Linked DNA regions of Drosophila melanogaster. The protein of the gene in region 1 interacts with the protein of each later gene in a pairwise test. Each region holds a gene or a part of one and is shown on either strand. Other genes may lie near its edges. The genes, in order: CG11248, narya, CG8086 and CG8851.

Region 1 (5,524 bases):
CTTTGGTTTTGAAGTGTGTATCCGCCAGAACACATAAGCAAACGTAGTTGTCTGGGCCACGCTGCTCCCAACTGAAGCTGGAGAAGCGTCTGCGCGTATGTGCTGGACTGCTGCAGATGTCGCATTGGAGGCGCAGGTTGAAGGGAATGTATTTGACCCGAGGCATTGAGCAGTAGTGTATGGTAGTCGCCGCAAGTCGCCTCAAGCGCCGAGTTTTGTTCTATGGGTAGTGCTGCCGTGTTTTCCGTAATTGTGATCTCCATGGGCGAGCTGACATCTTCACCCAACTGAGAGTGGTTGTTCAGGCCCCAGTGGTAGAGCCTTCCGTCCAGAGTGCGGGCCACCGTGTGCTCTAATCCAGCTGCAATGCTGCACACGCCCATGCTGTCTAGTTTCTGCAAGCGCATCACATTGGCCCTCCGGATATGATCCCCACTGCCCAGGAGACCATTATTGGAGGCTCCGAATGTGAAAAGTTGGGTGTGGAGCAGAGCGTATCCTTGGTGAAGAAGGTGCCTTGTGTTAGCCGCAACGCTGCGCTCCGAGTGGCCACTGCTTATGGATTTTACAGAGGCCCGTTCATCCTCGGGTTCTTCCTTCGCACTGGCCACCGACAGCTGGAGTGCATCGTCGGCCAGGTTGTAGGGAGCTACTAACATCACAAAGTGCTCGTTTCCGGCTGCTAAGTCCAACAGTTCCTTGCCCTCTTCGTAAAGGCGCATGTGCCGAGGCTGTTGTTCTGCCTTGAAGACTTCGCCGCAGCTGCCCATGACATAGGTCTCCCCACTAGCGCCGACGAAGACAACGCCCTGGGCGGAGCAGCAAACCCGTCGGATGCGTACGCCCTCAGCATGCAATTCGAGAGGGTCGAAACCGAGGGTTTGCCACGCATGTGGATGACCCACATCCCGGCCAGATCCCGTGGCTTGGCGCTGCACAGAGCCATTGGTGAGGACTACGAATAGTTCCTGACTGCCGGAGCAGAAGTCCATATCCACAACATCGGTACGCAGGAGTTGAAGATCCATGTGTTCGCGGTTGGCCTGCAGCTTGGCGGAGTAGAGGGCGTGGTCAGTGGTCAGAAGGAGCAGTTCCCCGCCGGCATTGCTGCAAATCCGGGATGCGGGAAACCGCTGCAGGGGCGGCAATCCGCGCCAGTGAAGCTGTAGCTCCCTGCCTTCATGATAGATGGTGAAGGACTCCCGCTCCTCCTGACCCCCAAGTGCCGAGTCATCCGCTGCACTGGCCATGATGTGCAAATTTTTGTTGGGGTTTTGGACAGGGCCAAAGCTTTGTAACACGACGCAATTGCTCGATTTGTCTGCAGGTCGTTCTCACATCGTGCACGTGCTCCGGTCCACGCTAGGCACTACTGGCACCAACGAACATCATATAACTTGATTCGGAATGCAACTCTAGCTGCCACGATAAAATAAATTCTGTTTTCACTTGTTCTTAACTGGCTAATAAGAATTCATGTTTTTGTGATGGTTTTTTGGATTAGTGTGACCAGCGCTATCGAGTCCCAATGAGAATTTATTAAGTAAGGGTGTTCGGGTAAAAGTGACGTTCTAAAATTGGGCTTATCACTATTTATTTGGTCCATGCAAATTGTTGTTTTATAACCAATTTTGAAAACACACATAATACCTTATACGTAAACTCAATATTGTAGTTAGCTAGAACTCTTATATAAATTTAAATAACTCCTTAGTTGCATTCGCCATAATCATGGAACCAGTCAACACAAAAAAGTTATTTTGGTATTTTTTTGCGATACATCAATTTGTTTTAATATGGTCATATTGTTTTTGCCATCAGCTGTTCGACTCAAAAGTTTTTGCATGTTTTGTTTATTTCGCTTAAAATGTAGTTTTATCGTTAATTAGGAAAAGTTACCCACGGTAAAAAAAAACAACCGTCAACAATTGTTCAGAAACATCAACTAGTACGACTCAGTGGACACCTCCGTGTGGTACTGCTGGTTTGCATACGCCCACAAAAGTTGTTTTAAGCCACAAACTCACCCTCCTAAAATAAAATTTTTTCAGCTCGGTTATGGATTTGGACTGCGAGGGCGCTACAGCTTTGGCTGACGACTCAGGGCACTTTAGCTGCACTAGCGATGATGGAGTAGGAGATCCTGCTCAGAAACCGGCGCCGCAGCCTGAACCGGACCAATCGATTTTTCTGGTGCGGCAAGAGCTGCTTCGGACGCGCAGTGAGGTGCAAAGGCTCTTAAAATCGGAGCAGTGGTACAAGCAGGAGCTTAAGTCCCAGAAGCACAGCAGGCTACAGACGCTAGAACGATTGTACGCACAGGAACGGAAGTATTTGATGGAGAACCAGAAGCTGCAGCAAGAATCGATCCGCCTGCACACACAATGCGCCACTCTGGAGAAGCAGCAGGAGCAGGGCTCACCATTTTCCCCTGGCTCATCGCCGTTTAAAGCAGACTCGGAGTCACACGACTCCTCTTTTGAGGCCAAACAGCAGGAGGCGCGCCTACGGGATCAGCGTCAGTTGATCGACGTGCTCCGAAGGCAAAAGAAGATGCTTCTGGACGACATCCAGAGGATCAGTCTGGAACACGATGAAAAACTTTCGCAGTTGCAGCAAACTGTTGTCGGCATGGAGCTGGAGAGCAAGCACGTGACTGGAAAATGCAAGCAACTACTTGACCTTAAAAGTCAAATGGAGCACCAGCTAGAGCTAAGAAGCACTACCCTACGCAGTGTCACCGCGGAGCGTGATCAGCTGCGCCAAGTCATTGCTGAGCTTAACGAGACGCTGCAAACGCAGGAGCATCTGTTAGCGCTAAAGGAACAGGAGTTCCTGGATTTGAAACAGTACTACCAACAAAAGCTGAAACGGGAGAGTAGCATGGAAATTATGCACTCTTATAGCATGAAATTTCACGAAGAGATCAACAGAAAAACGAGTGAAATTGCCAGCCTTAAGAATTCTCTTAACGAGCTTCAGGCCGAGCTGATGCTGATGTCTCACATGAAAGAGCAATGCGAGGAACAGCAGCGTCAGCTTGAGCAACTGGAGTTCGCATTGCAGGCACAACTTTTGGAGGAGACTCAACTTCGGCAAAGCAATGCTCTAAAACTGGAGCAGGTGGAAAATTTAACAATTTCTTTGGCTTCGTTACAACTAGATAAGGAAGGCTTAAAAGAAAATTTAGGTGAGGCGCAAAAGACCTTGAAAAATCTACAGCAGAAGGTGGACATTCTTCAAAAACAGTATGCCGAAATGTGCTCCTTGTGTCAAAAGACTAAACAGCAATTGGAACTGGAGAAAATCGAGATTGCCAAAATGAAGCAAAACGGTTCCTTAAAGGAAAGTGAGCTAATGGAGAAACTCAAAGATTATGCAGCGCAGTGTGATGAGCTGAGAAAAGCGTTGGCCGAAGCAGAGTCCCGTATCGATGTCCAAATCAAAAAGACAGAGGGCTGGCAAGTGCAGTTGAAACACAACCAAGCGACCCAAACGGACCTCGAAGATCCGATTTTAGTTCAACGCATTGAGACTTTGGAACAACAACTAGCGGATGTCAGGAGCCAAAAATTGCACACAGTTTCGCTGCTCCAAATACTGCTTCAACAGCAAGAAGCTAAAATCAAGAGCACTAACGAAATGGAAGCAGACTGGCAACAACTGTTAGATGCTCTGCAAGCTACTCAAAGCTTGGAGCAGGAAATGCGATCAGAACTACAGCATAAGACGGTTGAATTGGAGCACCTGAATGAATTGTTCGCTGGACAAAATGATGAACTGCAAAAGCTCCAGAAATTGAGCCAAGCGCAGGACGAGGAAAATCGACTAGAGTTACAGCTTTTGAAGAAAACATTCCAAGAGAATCTGAAGATAAACTCCGCTGCGTCGATTAACATGCAAAGGCTGCAAGGCCAGGTAAAGTCTTTGCTAGATGAGAAGGAGGAAATTGCGCGAGAAGAACGCAAAGCAGTAGAGTGTTTGCGATCTCTTGGTCACGTTCTTGAGATGGAAACAGGAAGGAGGCTACCACATATAAAAAGCTGGCCTCAGTTGGCCAAAATTCTTCGAAAGGAACTGCGAAATGGGAGGGTTAACAATCGAAAGGCTGAAGAGCTTCCTGGGCTTAAAATGAAGCTGGCGGAGATCAGCGGAAGGCATCAGCAAGCTTTGTCAAAAATTAAGGTATGTTATGTCTTACTCCCTTAAAGTAACTCTTTGTAACACAATTAATTGCTTTTTACAGTGTCTGGAGCACACTTTGGTAATGGAGCGAGCGCGGTTTGAGGCCTCGGACTCGGGCAAATCGACGGCTAGCAACACGCCCCAGGAACCCGCCCATGAAGTGGCTAATCTTATTGATGACTACAAGAAGGTAAGTATGTTCCCCTCCGATTGGCTTCTCTTGACATTTCCTTAATTGATTTACAGCTCGTTCAGCAAACCGCCAATGAAACATGTCGCCCTCGCAACAGCTTCATATTCGATCTGATTGAGCGGAGTCAGCGATGCCAACCGAATTTGTGCCAATTAGGCGAGGGTATTTCCGCCTGCCAGTCTGATATGAAGGAGCTAAGCAGGATTATTATTGCTGGTCGGGAACGGAGGAGAGTGGAGCCCATGCCCTCCCTCATGGATGAACTTCGAGCGGTGGCCGAGCACTCTTAGACGAGCATAATTTAGTTTTCAGTCAAATACTTATAAATTTCCTATTTAGTACCTATTTGTTTAGTCTCAAATTTTGTTTTCCTAAAAGGGGCAATTAGTGAATTGAGTTTTTGTGCCTAGTCTCATAGGCCTAATTTTCAATCAGATCCAACTTAGTTCAATTTATATAAATATTTATTTTGTTGTCTTTTGTGTTCGTTATCTTTATTTATGTGTAACGCATTCTGTTAGTTTCACCAATTCTATATACATACTAATTGCCAAACTATACCAATATTTTTTCTACAAGATATATAAACCATTGTTGGTTGCCACAAAAATGTGTAATTATTTTTATAGTCCATAACATTTAAAGTTAAAAACCTTGTGTAGATAAAACATATTTGTGTGAAGTCGATCAGTGCACATCATTTACTTTCGTGGGCACCTAGGGATTTTAGTACCATCGTTCTCCGAAATAACTTCCTTTTTGTCATATATCGTATTTCCGTTTTCATCCACGTCCAGAACTTCCTGTATTACCCCTTTTCGAGTTCGTGTTATCCCACACATAGGCTTATCGTTTTTATCCATGCACAAAATCAGGAGCTCAGTGTGCTGTAGATCAGAGGGCTTTAGGACCTTTGTTACCTTACAAGATGCCGTAAACTTTATGGGGCACGTCACCCCGGCACATTGCCAACCATCTGGGGGGAAATAATTATTAACATAGATGTTCCAATACTACTCGTATCCATGTAATCCATACACTTAGTCTTCTTTACCGTCGCTCGATTTAAGTCCTCATTTAGGTGCCGATCTCCGTCTGCCTTAAAATAAATGTACGATCCATAATACTCCATATACGGATTTACCC
Region 2 (3,276 bases), on another chromosome or scaffold:
ACGCGGCTCAAGCCCTTCGTGCTGCAGCACCCAAACTCGCAATTCGCCAAGCACTTCGAGCTGCTTAAGCTGACCGAAAGCGATCTGCTGCCCAAGCCAGACTTCTACACGCCCAAGCTTCCGCTCAGCAAGCGCCACCAGTTGCTCTGTTACCAGTGAGTGCGTGCGTCTGTACGAAATTGCAGCGCCATACTAATCCCCAAAAAACTACGTACTACAACAGGTCGCTGCTGGAGACCGCCAAGCCCTATCTGATTAACTGCATCCGCCTGCCGGCTGCCCAGACGCTATTGCTCTTCAGCTTCGCCATTGACACGAACGCGGGCATCACACAGATCGCCTGCGACGGCTGGCTGGGACTGGATCTGCCCATGCCCGGCAGCGGTATGGAGCTTTTAAGACGGGCCATCGAGTTGCGCCGACGTTGGAGCAGACTGCTTTACGACAAGCTGGATGGTGAGTGCTCCCCAGATTGGTTGGAATTATTAAAACTACTAGGGGGATTTTTGAGTTTTGTAAGCTAAAGTAGATTGTTATATTTCCGTTTATGGTTATCATATCCCGCACATGAGTAGTGGAACGTCTCGATTTGAATAGTAATAGTAATAGAATACGGATGATAATTAGTACCTTAAGCGCAACTTAATAATCTATCTGGTTCTTTATATTGGGAATCTTCTGGAAGGTCAAAACCTAATTGAATCGTTAGAAGTGGTTATAGTCTTAGAATTCCTATAAAAAATTATACAAGTAATTGGAGTGACTAAAGACGAAAGCCTTTAGTGTCGCTGCCAAAAGATCTTCTCCGCGTTGACTGGGTATCCAAGTCCGCGGACCGGCGGGAGCTATCAGAAGGCATATCCGACGGCGATTTGTCCGAAGTGCTGATAGAGGTGTTCCAGGCCTCCTTGAACTCCGGCGTATGGAATCTCTCACCTGCACTGTGCCGGCGCCTCGTCATCCTCTGCGCATTCTCGTGGTAAGCGATGTAGGTGCGCAATTCAGCGATTCGCTTCTTTTCCTCCACGACCTTCTGGTTCAGCTGCGCCTCCATCTTGCAAAAGCCCTCCAGCTGGCGCTTGTTTTGCTCCAGCTGCTGCAACTGACGGTAGAAACCCAGGTTGTCCGATGCTCGCTGGTCCGCTTGGAACTTGGAGATCTTGCGGTAGATCTGCTGGAATCGCAGGGGATCCGCGAAGTAGTTGGCCACGCTAGTTGGCATATCCCGGTTGATCTGGATCGCTTTGAGCACCTGGCCGCATAGCGGGCAGTTCTTTTCTAGCGAGGATTGGCCCAAACAGGGGCCGCAGATCACGTGCCGGCACTGGGTCAAGTGGAAGGGCACGGCTGGATCAGTTTTGCGATGACGGAAACACTTGTTGCAATGCACTCGAAACATAGTGACCAATATATGTTTTTTTCCTCGCCTTGCAAGTTTTCTTCTTAAACAATTGTGATTTAGATATCCGAATGGGGCTAACGGATCTTACCTCAGCGGTCTGGCCACTCTGCCGGGTGAGAACACTCTCGCCTTGCAATCTGTTCACCACACCTTTCCTGCAAGTGGTGTATTCAGGTTCAAAGATTTTTCACCATAATATTTTAAAGCAGTTATTATTGTAACAATCAAATGATGGGAACGACATATGCTTAAAAACGTTTTTTTTTTTAGGTATTTACATATACAATTGTCGATATTTGAACTGTTCAGTTATAGAAAATGCTTGTTGTTCTTGGCATTCTTAGTAAATGGAGCTTAGTTATCTAATACGTATGTACTTAATGCTGTCCAATTTGCAGACCTCAAAAGCAAACAGGAATCACCTTCCCATTCAAGTGACGATAGGAGCAGCGCGCTGTGGCAAGATCTTGTGGACTATATGGCGCTGGATGTGGCGTATGCGATACGCCGACTGCTTCCCGCCGACATCAAGAGGCTCTACACTCATCAGGCACCTTCCGCGCGACTCGCGGAGCTCAAGGAGAACCCCTTTGCCGTCGACTTTCCCATGACACCGAACGAGGAAAAGGGCGGCCTCAACGTATCGGAGCACGTGGTGTACAGCTGCTTGGCCGAACAGCAGTGGACGACGGCCATGGATGCGACTCTACGGGCAGAGCCATGGCAGTGTACGCGCTGCGATTTCGAGCTGGAGGAGTTCGATGTGCTGGAGCAGCTGGTGCACCGATCCAAATGCAAGCGTCGCAAGGCGCAGGAAAGCCGCACGGCGAAAACAACGAGCACAGAGTCCTCAACGGAGGTAGCCAGTAGCTCCAGTTCGCACTCCTCCGGCGGCTATTACTGCAACTCCTGCAAGAGGGAGTTGCGACTGACAACGATCGACATTCTGCGCCACAAAAAGCAGTGTCGAAATAACAAGTAATCGTCTGAATAAACGTATTTAATTATAAAAAAAAAAACATATTTAATTTAACATATTGAAAAATTGCTAAACAAATTAACTTTTGGCCTGTCCCCTTTGGAAATCAACAAAAATGTTATGAAAAACATTTGCTTTCTTTAATTGAGGGACCCTTCAGCCATGTTACAATGAAAAAAAAAAAACGCACTGAAAAATGTTGGGCGGAAATCTGTATTCGGATTTCCCACCAAAAATATTTCGTTTTTGGGCCAAAACAATGGAATTTTTAATTAAAATCAATTATGCCCCGTTCAATTGGCATTGAAGCCGCCGGGAAATTTCCATTTTAATCAAATTGTTGAAAGAATGAATTTATAGAATAAATTATCGGATACGAAATATGGGATTTGATAACTACGTATGCCTGTTAGTTAGCCAGCTACACAATAGGTCGTCGTTGCTCAAGCTGCGCTGCTTATTTTAACTGAATATTGCAATATGTAAAATTGTCAAGTGTCCAGCTTTCAATTTGCCACTGACAACAGAGCTGGGTGAATTCCTCACAAGGATTTAGTTTTTATCTCGCACAATTTTGTAGCTTACAAAATAGTTTTTAGCTTAGGATGATGACAAAAAGGGATTTAGAGATTTGTATTGGATCTGCACCTTAATGCGGCGCTCCTTTCGACCGTGCTGTGTTGTCCTAATCTCGGGACACAGAAGCTACGCTTGTTTATGAAAAGGTCTTTGCCTGTCAAGCTGTCCAATTTTCAGATATAGTTGTGCGCTTCCTCGGCAGGGCAGCAGCTCCTTCTGCCTCGCCCGACTGTCTACTTCTTTGCAACTACATTGTTGCTACTGTCGAGTTTTGTGCTCAGCTTGCTTGTCCGCTTTTTCGCAAGAAAAAAAGTAG
Region 3 (4,975 bases), on another chromosome or scaffold:
GGTTTATAGAAAAAAGCGTGACAATCAAATGCAATATCTTATGTTTTGAAATTTTCTGTTCTACTATATGCTTCCAAAATCTTGACAGTTATGCTTTTATGTATAAGATGACTATTATTCAATCACAATTTTCTTTCACAATTAAGCTTAATATATTTTTAGATTTTTAATTGATCTCTTTTCGATGCCATATGTGCATATTAAGACAGATTTCCTTCAATGCGAGCAATGTGGGTGGGTGGCCAAGACTCTTTGTCTGACAGATGTCTGAGTTTGTTGGCTCAGCTGCCGGCTCTGATTCATCGTTAGATTTTCAGTTTTCTTCGCTGATCTTGGCCTCGAACAGCAATTGAACAGGCGGTACGGTGTGTGGGCTTTCCAACCTCATGATGGTGATGTAAGAGTCGCCTTATAAGACCGCCTGATGACTGCCTGCCTTGCGAAGAGAACATTGTTTTTTGTACATAAATACATACATATGTATATGTGAATTGCATGCGAGGTCAGGAGTCATATGTAGCAAGTAACAAGTGCGGCTGGCGGGAAAAGTGAAGCCTTTCTTGGCAGCAGAACGACGGCTTTATTGGCCCTGTTAACAGCCAGGCCACGCCCCCTAACATTGTTTGTAATTATTTACACAGGCTGGCGAATTTTCACGGCCAAAAGAAGTGGCACGCTTCGCATTTCTTTTGGGTCCTGGGTTTGTTTTTGTTTTGGTTCATGCAATTGTCGGCCATAAGTCATTAAAAGTAATCGTTTTGTTGGCTTACATGCCCCACAAAATGGGCAGCATTAGCACTTAGCATACTCCCCTTCGTTTCGTTTCGTTTCGCTTCGATTCGGGACACAACCTTGTTGACCAGACCCCAAATCTCGGCGCCCGTCGAATTCGTATCCGTATCCAAATCCAGCCCCATATCGATTACATGCCCAAATGCCTGGTTCCTGGCGCTAAAAAGGTGGAAAGGTGGAAAGTTGGTAAGGTGGAGCGTGGTTGGAACTCCTGATACCAGCTGGTACCGGTCTGTTTTCCGATGTCTGCCCGCCTGTCGATGGGCAACACTTGGTGTCCCGTGTGCTGAGCTGTGAAAAGAAGGTCGTCACCCAGGGCAGCAGCAGGTTTTGGGGAATACGAATGTTGTTGAGGGGGGCCTCTCATTAAAATATTCATTTTGTCTAGCTCCTAACTAGCTGGAAACACTTTTATTGTGCACTTCTTTTGTTACGACTTAGTGGTAATCATATGTATAATAAAATTGTCTACCGTGGTAACTGCATTAAAATTCATTTGGTTTTCTCTTCGTATTTTATTGTTCCCTTTTTATAGGGAAATTCAATTTAAAGGGTGAAGCTCAATATATGCTAGATATATTTAGGCACCTTTACAAACTTCGATTACATATATAAATTATTGCTCTCTATTCAAAATCAAATACAACTGAAAGGCAAAGACATAATAAGACTGTAATTTAAGTTTCTTAACTTTATTTTGGTTGCACTGCAAACCCCTGCAACTTTTGTGCCTGCCACTGACGCCCAAGAATTACGAGCCTACCGCAAAGTTATTGCCATTGTTTGTATTTCGTGCGGCGCAACAAATTCGCGGCTCGAACAGAAGGAACCTGCAACAAATGCCGAGCAACAGCCACTGCAGAAGAAGGAGAAGAAAAAGAGTGACAGCCGCCACACGACACGCCCCCATCCACTGAATCCATTCGCCCATGGATGGTATGAATATGTGGAGCTACACGCCTGGTTATTAGCCGCCCCATCGGAATTGGCCCAGAAAGTTCGAAACAAATGCCAGACGATTGATTTTTGTGTCATCGACTTGGCTGTTGGAGTAGGACGAAATTTGGATTATTAGGTTACCCAAGTTTGGGGGTCGAAGTATAGATTTCAGTAGTCAGCCTATCACCCACTCACACGTGTAAATGTCAGCGAAGGGAGTTCAGTAAATTTGGTCTTTAACTTTTTTTTTTTACATTGGGGCACAATTTTCAGACTTCGATACTACTAAGCCTAAAAACAGCAAGATGAACAAGGTGGTTTCTTGAAGATCTAAATAACTAATGGATTTCTTAATATTGTTGTTTGTTTTCCCCTTTTTAGGTCGAGTTCAAAAACAAGAACAAGGATCAGGGACCCTGCGCCCGCGTGCGTAAGATTCGTCCAATTAACATGGGCGGCAACGTGGAGCAGCGTCCTTGGACTCCAACTGTTAGGATCGGCAAGATCGCCGCCGAGACCACCAATCCGGGTCCAGCCACTGTCCAACTTCCAACCTTGATAGGTAAGCTTAAGATTGGTTTAATGTTCCTGCAAATATAACTTATTGAAAATCCCACATTTAGGCAGCAAAGTTCCCGACTCCAAGAAGAAGGCCGCACCCTCGTACTCCTTTGGCCACAAGTTGGGCGGAAAGTATGACACCTCCGGACCGGGTCCGGCGCAGTACAATGTTACGGGTATGCGAGCCAAGGGTCGGGATTATCCTCGAGCAGCCACTCTGCAGAGCAGACCCAAGGAACTAACACGCTTCTCGAATCCCGGACCTGGGGAATACGATGTGGTGCCGGCGGCCAAGGCGGTGATCGATGCCACGCCCAAATACACTTTTGGCCAACGGCCGGTCGCGTTGAAAACCTTCCAGATACCAGGTGAGTCTCGGTCTTCTTCCACTGGTGTTTGAATGGTGTTTTTGGACCTGATGTTGGATTTTGGAGTTGGATCTGAAAATTGACTTTGAATTTGGCGTTGAATTCGGTGTTTGTTGCGGGCTGGTGCTGTTTTTTTTTTTTTTTTTGGTTGCATGCGCGGACTGAGGAGATCATCAATCAATTTCAATCATGGATCATCATTGTACATAGAAGCGTACTCATTAACTAATCCGAATCCATGCCAGTTGCATCCTTACTGCAAGCAGCGCGTAAGTTGCTACCGCCCCTTTCTTCCACTTTCTCCCACTTTCTATCTCTATCTCAGTAGCTAGTGTAGTCGTAGCCACATTTCGTAGATTATTCTGCTGTATCTTTGGGTATCCTTGAGATTGAATCGTAGTTATGTCACCTCGTAATGTGCGTGAATGATTTGGCTTATTCTATTCTATTATTTTTGGTACATTAATTAAAAAGTATTTAATTATAATGTTGGGCATTATTATTATTTATTCGATTTGTTCATATCTCGTTCTCTAAACTTTCTTTGTTTCCCTAAAAAAAAGCTACAAATTTACGTAGGAGGAATTGGCAATGTCTTTATACGGTCATCTATTTTGTGAAAGATTGTCTACAACTTGGCTCAGTTATTTTTATTTATGAGTCAAACGGAAACGGAGATCAGATGTCTTAATTTCTCATAAATATTTCTATTTAAGATTATACATATTCTCTAATTCTCATTTATTATTTCCTAGCTACACAGTGTTCTTTGTATATGTGTTACTTTAGTGGTTCAGTAATTTGTGTGACCTCTTTTTTTTTGTTATGTTGCCTGATTTGATTTTAATTTGAAACGTTTTTCTCTTTCAATGAATGATTGCCGTGGCAAAATCGAGACTCAGGTCCCAACTATTATCAAGTGGTGCCACTTGATGTCGTCAAGCGGCGAGCCCCACGCTACTCCTTTCGCATTAAGGTTAACGTGTATTTGGTTAACAATCCAGGTAACCCAACTAACTGTCCAAACTTCGTCCACGTTGCGTTTTAGTGTTGGTGTTGGTCTAGCTCCGCTCTCTAACTTCTAACCCGATCAATTAATCCCCAACTCATCACTAATTCCCGAAATAATGTATCTTTCTATCCGTATATACATATCTATCTATTTGTAATTCACCCACACTTAGTCGTAGCTCACCTAGTGTAGACCTTTAGTTTTGATTCGAGTAGACTAAAAATCGAATGTTTTATTAACACTAACAGCTCCGAATAGCTATTGCCCTGAAAAGGTCACGCAATCAAAAAAGAATGCGCCACGCTACACTTTCGGTAGACGAACTAAAATCGAACACGATCAGGGCACACCAGGTAATAAATCCCAGCCTCCCCCCCAAGTAACTGTATCTGCATCTGTAATTGTATCCGTATCTACCCCAATCGAGGCACCACTTGCTCAAGCGTACCCAATTGGACAGTATCTATAGCGCTTTCCTTTTCTATTCCCGTGACTTTTGGCCAACTTAATACTGATATCCCATCCCATCCGCAGCTCCTGGCGCATATTGTCCAGAGAAGGTGAAGCTCAACAAGACGCCAGAGTTCAGTTTCGGCATCAAGCACCATGAACAGCGACCAGATTACACTCCAGGTTTGTAAACAGTATGCCTTGTAGGTTTGAGCCACGTTAATATAGCTGCTTGATGCTTTCACCACGACGACACTTTCATTAGCGCCAGGCACCTACAAGCCCGAGCAGGTTGTCCTCGAACACATTCCCGCCTACAGCTTTGGCTTGAAGACCAAACACATCCAGGTCAGCGATACTCCAGGTAAGGCTTCCCGCTCAGCTGGGCTGTAGTAACTTGGCTTATAGCGCACACTTTTATGTCCTTATGACCAGCACCCGGTGCCTACAGCCCCGAAAAGTCAAGGTTGCACTCCGCACCCGCTTACTCAATCGCCGGAAAGGCTTCGCAGGACGTGGTCGATTGCACACCTGGTGAGTTCTAGAATCGCATTTCAATGGATCTTAGTCTTAGCGTGCGACCCGCACACCAAAACCCAACTCTTTTTACACCTTATCTTCACCCAATCTCTTGCAGCACCCGGAGCATACGAACCCGAGAAGTGCGTCCTGAGCAGGACGCCTGCCTTCAGCTTTGGCCACCGTGCCGAGCTGGCCAAGTCGAGTGACACGCCAGCGCCGGGCACCTACAATCCGGAGAAGGTGCGGCTGGACCACACGCCCGCATTCACCCTGTCCGGACGCCCAGAGACGAGGTCCGTGAGCGAGACTCCGGCGCCCGGTTCGTATGCCC
Region 4 (5,350 bases), on another chromosome or scaffold:
TGGGTGGACTTGAGCTGTTCGCAGAAGAGATCCCTCTGTCGGAGAAGCTCCTCCAGTTCATTCCTGGCCTGAGTCAGTTCCATTTGGCACTGGGCCAGCTGAGGTCGCACATCGACGTTGGGTTGCTGCTCCATCTGCGTCTTGCAGGCCTTGAGCTCCTTGCAGACCACCACCAGTTTCGTCTGCATCTCATCCTTCTCCTTGCAAACCTGGGCCAGCTTCAGCTGCTCGTTCTCTAAGAGCTTGGGGAAGTGCAGTAACTCGTTCAGTTTCTCTTGGAACTTAGCTCGAATCTCTTTGACCTCCGTGTTGATCTGCTGTTCGATTCGTTTGTTGTTCATGTTCAGCTTCTCTAGGGAGACGCACTGTTCCTCGACCTTCTGCTGGGCCAGCAGGTACTTGTTGCGGTAGTCCTCTAACTGCTGCGACTGCTCCTTCATGATGCACTTGAACTCCAGCTGCTCCTCCTTGAGCTCGTTGACCCGCGCTCGAAGTAGATTCAGCTCGGCGGCATCGGCATCCCCGTCGCCCCCTTTCGATGGACAGGGACCACAGATACCCTTCATTCGCTTCTGCATCTCCTTCATCTGGCAGTCCTTGCGCTGAAACTCGGTTAGCAGCCTGGTGTAGTTCTCCTTCATCTTCTCGTACTTGTCGGCCTTGGTGTTCCGCTTTCCGCCGCAGATGACCAGTGGGTCTGGATCCTCGGGACACGGCGGCCTGGGAGGACACGGCCTGGAGCAGGGGTCCTCCTCTCCTTCATCGTCATCGTCGTCGACGTCACAGGGTTCGGACGCATCCCGATTGCTCACCTCCTGGAGCAACTTCTTCACCGAGGTCTGCATGCATTGGATGCGCCGCTTCAGTTTCTCCAAGGACTCGCACTTGCCCGGTGGCTGGGGCTGGGGCTGGGGGCAGGGAGCCTTCTGAGCCTTCCGTTTGGCTGGACAGGGAGGAGGACATGGGGCAATGCTGCTGCTGCTGCTCTCCGGGCAAGGACCTTGGCAAGGACCCGGACAGGGTGGTGGCGGACAGGGACCCGGAACGCATACCGGCTGCTTCTTGCAGCTCATTATAGCGCAGGCGATCTCTTCGATCATCTTCTTGTCCTCAGGACAAGCGCCCTTCATCTTCTGCATGGCCTTTTGCAGAGCGCAGATCAACTTGTCGTCCTGACCAGCCATGTCCCGTTGACCTCCACCGCCTCCGCCGCCACCACAAACACTGGCACACGAGCTAGGCTCTTCGCTACAGGGATCCGTGGCGCTGCCAGCTGGAGCACAAGGACCGATGCCACACATATACGGTGACAGGTTGTCCTCGTCGACGGTGGTGGTCATGGCCAGCTCCTTGTAGTGCCGATGGGAGCCGAAGTTTTGCAGCTGCACCGCTCTGTTCATCATGGTGTGCAGCTTAATGTTCTCCTGCTCCATGCAAATCCTCAACCGCTTGATCTCGCGCAGTTCGTTGCGGGTCTTGCAGGGCTTGGCGCACATGTCCATGATGTTGCTCTTGATGTCCTGGATGATCTTGTTCTGGCAATCGATCTCCTTGATCAGCGCCAGGTACTCCATGTACATGCGCTTCTGCTCGGGATCGTCGGAGGACTCGCCCAGCTTGGAGAAGAGGTCCTCGTCGGGCCCCTCCTCCATCATGTGCTGTTCGCCAAGGTACTGGTTCTCATCGTCCTCGTACTCGCCGCCCTCATCGGTGTACTCTGTGTTCTCTGCCATCGCGATTTAGATTCACTTATCGATGCGGCCAAAAATTGTATGGTTAAAATTTTTTTTTTTTTTTTTTTATATTTGGCTAGATTTACTAACGATTTTAAGGTACGTATATTCTGCGAAAATTTTAACACATACTCTGAAAAAATTTCGAAACAAGTTTTGGGAAGAATAAGTTGTTTTCTTCGTGATCGAATAAAATGAACTGAAAAATCCACGGACATTCGCCCTGGGCAGTTGGCAACAGATTTGGAATGGCCTGCTTCGACTTGGGAGAATCGAACGAAAGATCCCGGAGAACTGGATTGGGATCGAGGACTTGCTTTGTCGAGGTGGATTACCGGAGTCCTCCCTCCCAGGATGGTCAGGAATGTGTCCTTCGGGAGGAGTGTGTATCGAGGCATCTATTCGGCGAAACAAACAACTATATTTACTACTGCCGCTACTTGAATTGGTTCAAAATCAAAACACAGTGCGACTTGAAGGAAATGGTATATCTTAATAAATAATTTTAAATCTATTCGAAAATATGTTATGAGAATCTACCTGTATCCTTTACTAACATAAAAGTATGAAAATGTTTTACGGTGAAATGGGAAATTTAAAGGGCAATCAGTAGGAATATACATATATAAATTATCACTCTACTGGGAGATGTGGTTTATTATCTAAAACTATTATATAAACCTTAAGGATATAATCAATCCTCGAACAGCGATATTTTCCAGAAGGCAAATGCCATTCGAGTAGGCGTAACGCCCAATTTTCTATCAAATAATTTTCGTCACGTCCTACGTAAAATTAATATTTTTGGGAATTGAATGTGTCACATAAGGTTTTTAAAAAAATTCTCTGTTCGCCAAAAACAGTGCAAAAAATTACACAAGTGCAACATTAACCAAATAGGCTAAATTTTCGTAGATGTTAAAGCCATCCAGGCGACCATTAGCCAACAGACAACGATCACTTCGATTCCGTCCACAGAATCGCAAAGGAACATCATCTAGTAACACCTCAATGGGACTGGACTTCGAGCTGGATGAGAAGAACGAAGATCAGGCAGATGAAAATGAAAAGAGTAGCTATGTCAGCCTCTCCAGGCCGAGCTCCAAAGTACTAGATACGAGAAGTGCCAGTAGCTTGGACTTCGGGGACCACTGTAGTCCCAGTATAACAAAATTACCCAAGAACAGCAGGGAAGGTAAGGAGGTCAGCCTAATCATGAGTGATGAAGAGCCGGAAGATTACAGAAAGGGTTTGGGCTCGAAGAGGAGGTTGCCAGACTCGGAAGCCCTTGGCAGCAAGCTAAAGGAGGAACTCTGCAAGTACAAGCAGGAGCTCAAGGACTACAACGAAAGCACCAAGGATCTGGAGGAGAAGTACATGAAAATTAACTACGAGCTGTGCGAAATGCAGCAGAAGCACGATCAGTTCGTGTCCAGCAGGAAGCAGGCCCAGCAAATGGATCTGGGAAGTGAGCCCGATCCGGATGGATTTTATAGCTCTGCCAGCAGTGTCACCTCGCAGACGACCATCAGACGAAAGAGCCCCCAAATCCTGCGCAGCAATACCAGTTTCATGACCGTTCTATCGGGCCAGAGTTCCTGCGACGAAATCGATAGAAAGAAATACGCGTCCGAAAGGAGTACTCATCAGCAGAATCACCATCGGCACAAGGACGATCTGCCATCACAGGTGAACAGCGTTTTTGACAGCCGTATTGTGGAAACACTGGCGAACCGTCACGTGAAGCGCAGGAAGAGATCCTTGGAGCAGGACGATCGGGAAAGGGAGCCAGCATCCTTCAAGGATGTGTACAATGTGCTGAAGGATGTGATCAACACCTCACAGGTATGAATTAGCTGTTAGCTAAATGGAATATAAAAACTTAAACCTTCTTCCTTAATCAGGATCAGAAGTACAAGCATGAACGGGATCGAGGTAGGGACAGAGACAGGGACAGGGACTCTGGAGATATAAGCCAGCTCCTTACCACCATTAAGGGACTGAAGAGCGAGCAGGTCCAGTTTCGAACTCTCATTCGGCAGCAGCAGGAGAGAATATCGGACTACCACACGCGGTGTGTGAAAGCCCAGGACATCATGAGCACCCAGAAGCAGGAGATCGAGAAGCTGCACGTGAATAACAAGCAGTTGGAGTCGAGCATCTACCATGACATAGACAGTCTGCGATCCAAGATAGACAACAAACTGAAAAGTGTCTCCCATTTGCCGAAGATGATGCGAGACGAGCACTCCAAGTACGAGACGGTAATGCGGGAAAATTGTCTGCTGGCGGATAAACTTCATGCCCTCCAACAGGAAGCCATGCAGCTGAAGGTCAAAATAGATGAACTGGGCCGCCGAAAGTTGGTCACCATCAACCGGCTGAAGGCCGCCGAAAGGGATCTGAAGATCTTTAAGAACTACAACTCGGCCTTGAAGACGGAGAAGCGGAAACTGACCCAGGAGCTGTCCACCATGAAGGATCAGCTGGAGCAGCTCCAGGCGAGCAGCAAAAGGCAACTTTCCCGCCATCGCGAGCAGAGCGAAAAGCAGCGCAGGGATCTGCAGAAGAAGATCTACGACCTCGAACTGAAGCTGAGTAGGAGCCAAAACTCGACGTCCAGTTTGATCCAGGAACGGGATAGTCTGATAGCTGAGCTCCAGACGCAACTCCACACCCTGGTCCACAACTTCGAGGTCTCGCAGAAACACATAAGGGTTCTCCGGCGGCACATCTACTCCATGACGAATCAGGGTGGCACGGGCATCGTTGGCAGTGGGTCGGCTGGCATTGCCCACTTGACATCAGGTGGTTCCCATCGACCCAGTCTGATCAGGATCAATCAGCTGCCCCAGGGAACCAGCAACGGTCGATTTGCAGCCCCCCGAACTCTGAAGGCGACGATCTAAACGGGGATCTGGACTGGACTGCCTAGACCTAGGCACTAGATTGGGCTCATCAGCTGTCCAGGCAACTTGAAGGTACTGCTCCCAGCACTTGGACTATGCCATCAAGTTGCCTGGACATTATCAGCCCTTATTAAGCCACCAATTATTTCACTCTAATGATTATGTAAACTCATTTTTAAAAGTACTTTTAATGATTCGGTTAAATGTATTGGGATAGGAACTTATTTAGGTACGACAGTCACATTACTATCACCGCTCCAAAGATTCCAAAGCCTCCAGAATTTGAGTTCATTATACGGAGCTATGACCAGATCTTTATGGCACTCCTTGACATAATTTAGGCAACAATTGCCGTTCACCAGACATGATTCTTGGCATCGACACCCTTCATTGATGTACCTTCCCCGAACAAAGTCCTGACCACAACGACCAGAGCAGTCGGTCATTTGGTAGCCCAGTGAATCCGTGATATCCGATTCTTCTATTGGTTTTTTTGGTTCCTCGATGAAGGTAGACCTCCTGGCACATTCCTTAGCTGCCATCAGCTTCACGTCGTCGATGGCAATATCTCCGTATTGGGACCTCGCATCCGTGGCGGTAAAGATCACTTGGAAGTCCTCATCCATCTTATTGATATCGATCGTGTGCTCCAGCCACCTGGCACCTTGTGATCCAGTCATCACGAATTGGTCGAACTTGTAGGGACTA

Evidence for each region.
Region 2: the proteins of CG11248 (region 1) and narya interact in a two-hybrid assay, tested with the Drosophila melanogaster proteins (one large-scale study listed by BioGRID).
Region 3: the proteins of CG11248 (region 1) and CG8086 interact in a two-hybrid assay, tested with the Drosophila melanogaster proteins (one large-scale study listed by BioGRID).
Region 4: the proteins of CG11248 (region 1) and CG8851 interact in a two-hybrid assay, tested with the Drosophila melanogaster proteins (one large-scale study listed by BioGRID).

What each region holds. Positions count from the first base shown.
Region 1 is NT_037436.4:21,678,249-21,683,772, forward strand, and holds CG11248 (uncharacterized protein), read left to right. Parts: upstream 1-1,801; 5' UTR 1,802-1,904; exon of another isoform or gene 1,905-1,984; intron 1,985-2,051; 5' UTR 2,052-2,058; coding exon 2,059-4,185; intron 4,186-4,246; coding exon 4,247-4,375; intron 4,376-4,431; coding exon 4,432-4,668; 3' UTR 4,669-4,983; downstream 4,984-5,524. Other genes in the region: Als2 (amyotrophic lateral sclerosis 2), read right to left, coding at 1-1,250; Sfp78E (seminal fluid protein 78E), read right to left, coding at 5,080-5,354, 5,417-5,524.
Region 2 is NC_004354.4:19,473,290-19,476,565, reverse strand, and holds narya (narya), read right to left. Parts: upstream 1,504-3,276; 5' UTR 1,400-1,503; coding exon 764-1,399; 3' UTR 511-763; downstream 1-510. Other genes in the region: CG32533 (uncharacterized protein), read left to right, coding at 1-155, 224-456, 1,801-2,384. UniProt on the Drosophila melanogaster protein: Required for the formation of DNA double-strand breaks (DSBs) together with nenya and vilya during the meiotic recombination process. Plays a role in DSBs processing into crossovers.
Region 3 is NT_033779.5:8,249,913-8,254,887, reverse strand, and holds the start of CG8086 (uncharacterized protein), read left to right. Parts: upstream 1-1,921; 5' UTR 1,922-2,036; coding exon 2,037-2,045; intron 2,046-2,112; coding exon 2,113-2,293; intron 2,294-2,354; coding exon 2,355-2,660; intron 2,661-3,562; coding exon 3,563-3,664; intron 3,665-3,920; coding exon 3,921-4,025; intron 4,026-4,206; coding exon 4,207-4,305; intron 4,306-4,387; coding exon 4,388-4,486; intron 4,487-4,557; coding exon 4,558-4,656; intron 4,657-4,759; coding exon 4,760-4,975.
Region 4 is NT_033779.5:3,517,731-3,523,080, forward strand, and holds CG8851 (uncharacterized protein), read left to right. Parts: upstream 1-1,946; 5' UTR 1,947-1,981; coding exon 1,982-2,218; intron 2,219-2,491; exon of another isoform or gene 2,492-2,648; coding exon 2,649-3,578; intron 3,579-3,637; coding exon 3,638-4,642; 3' UTR 4,643-4,825; downstream 4,826-5,350. Other genes in the region: CG3213 (uncharacterized protein), read right to left, coding at 1-1,733; Sr-CIV (scavenger receptor class C, type IV), read right to left, coding at 4,864-5,347.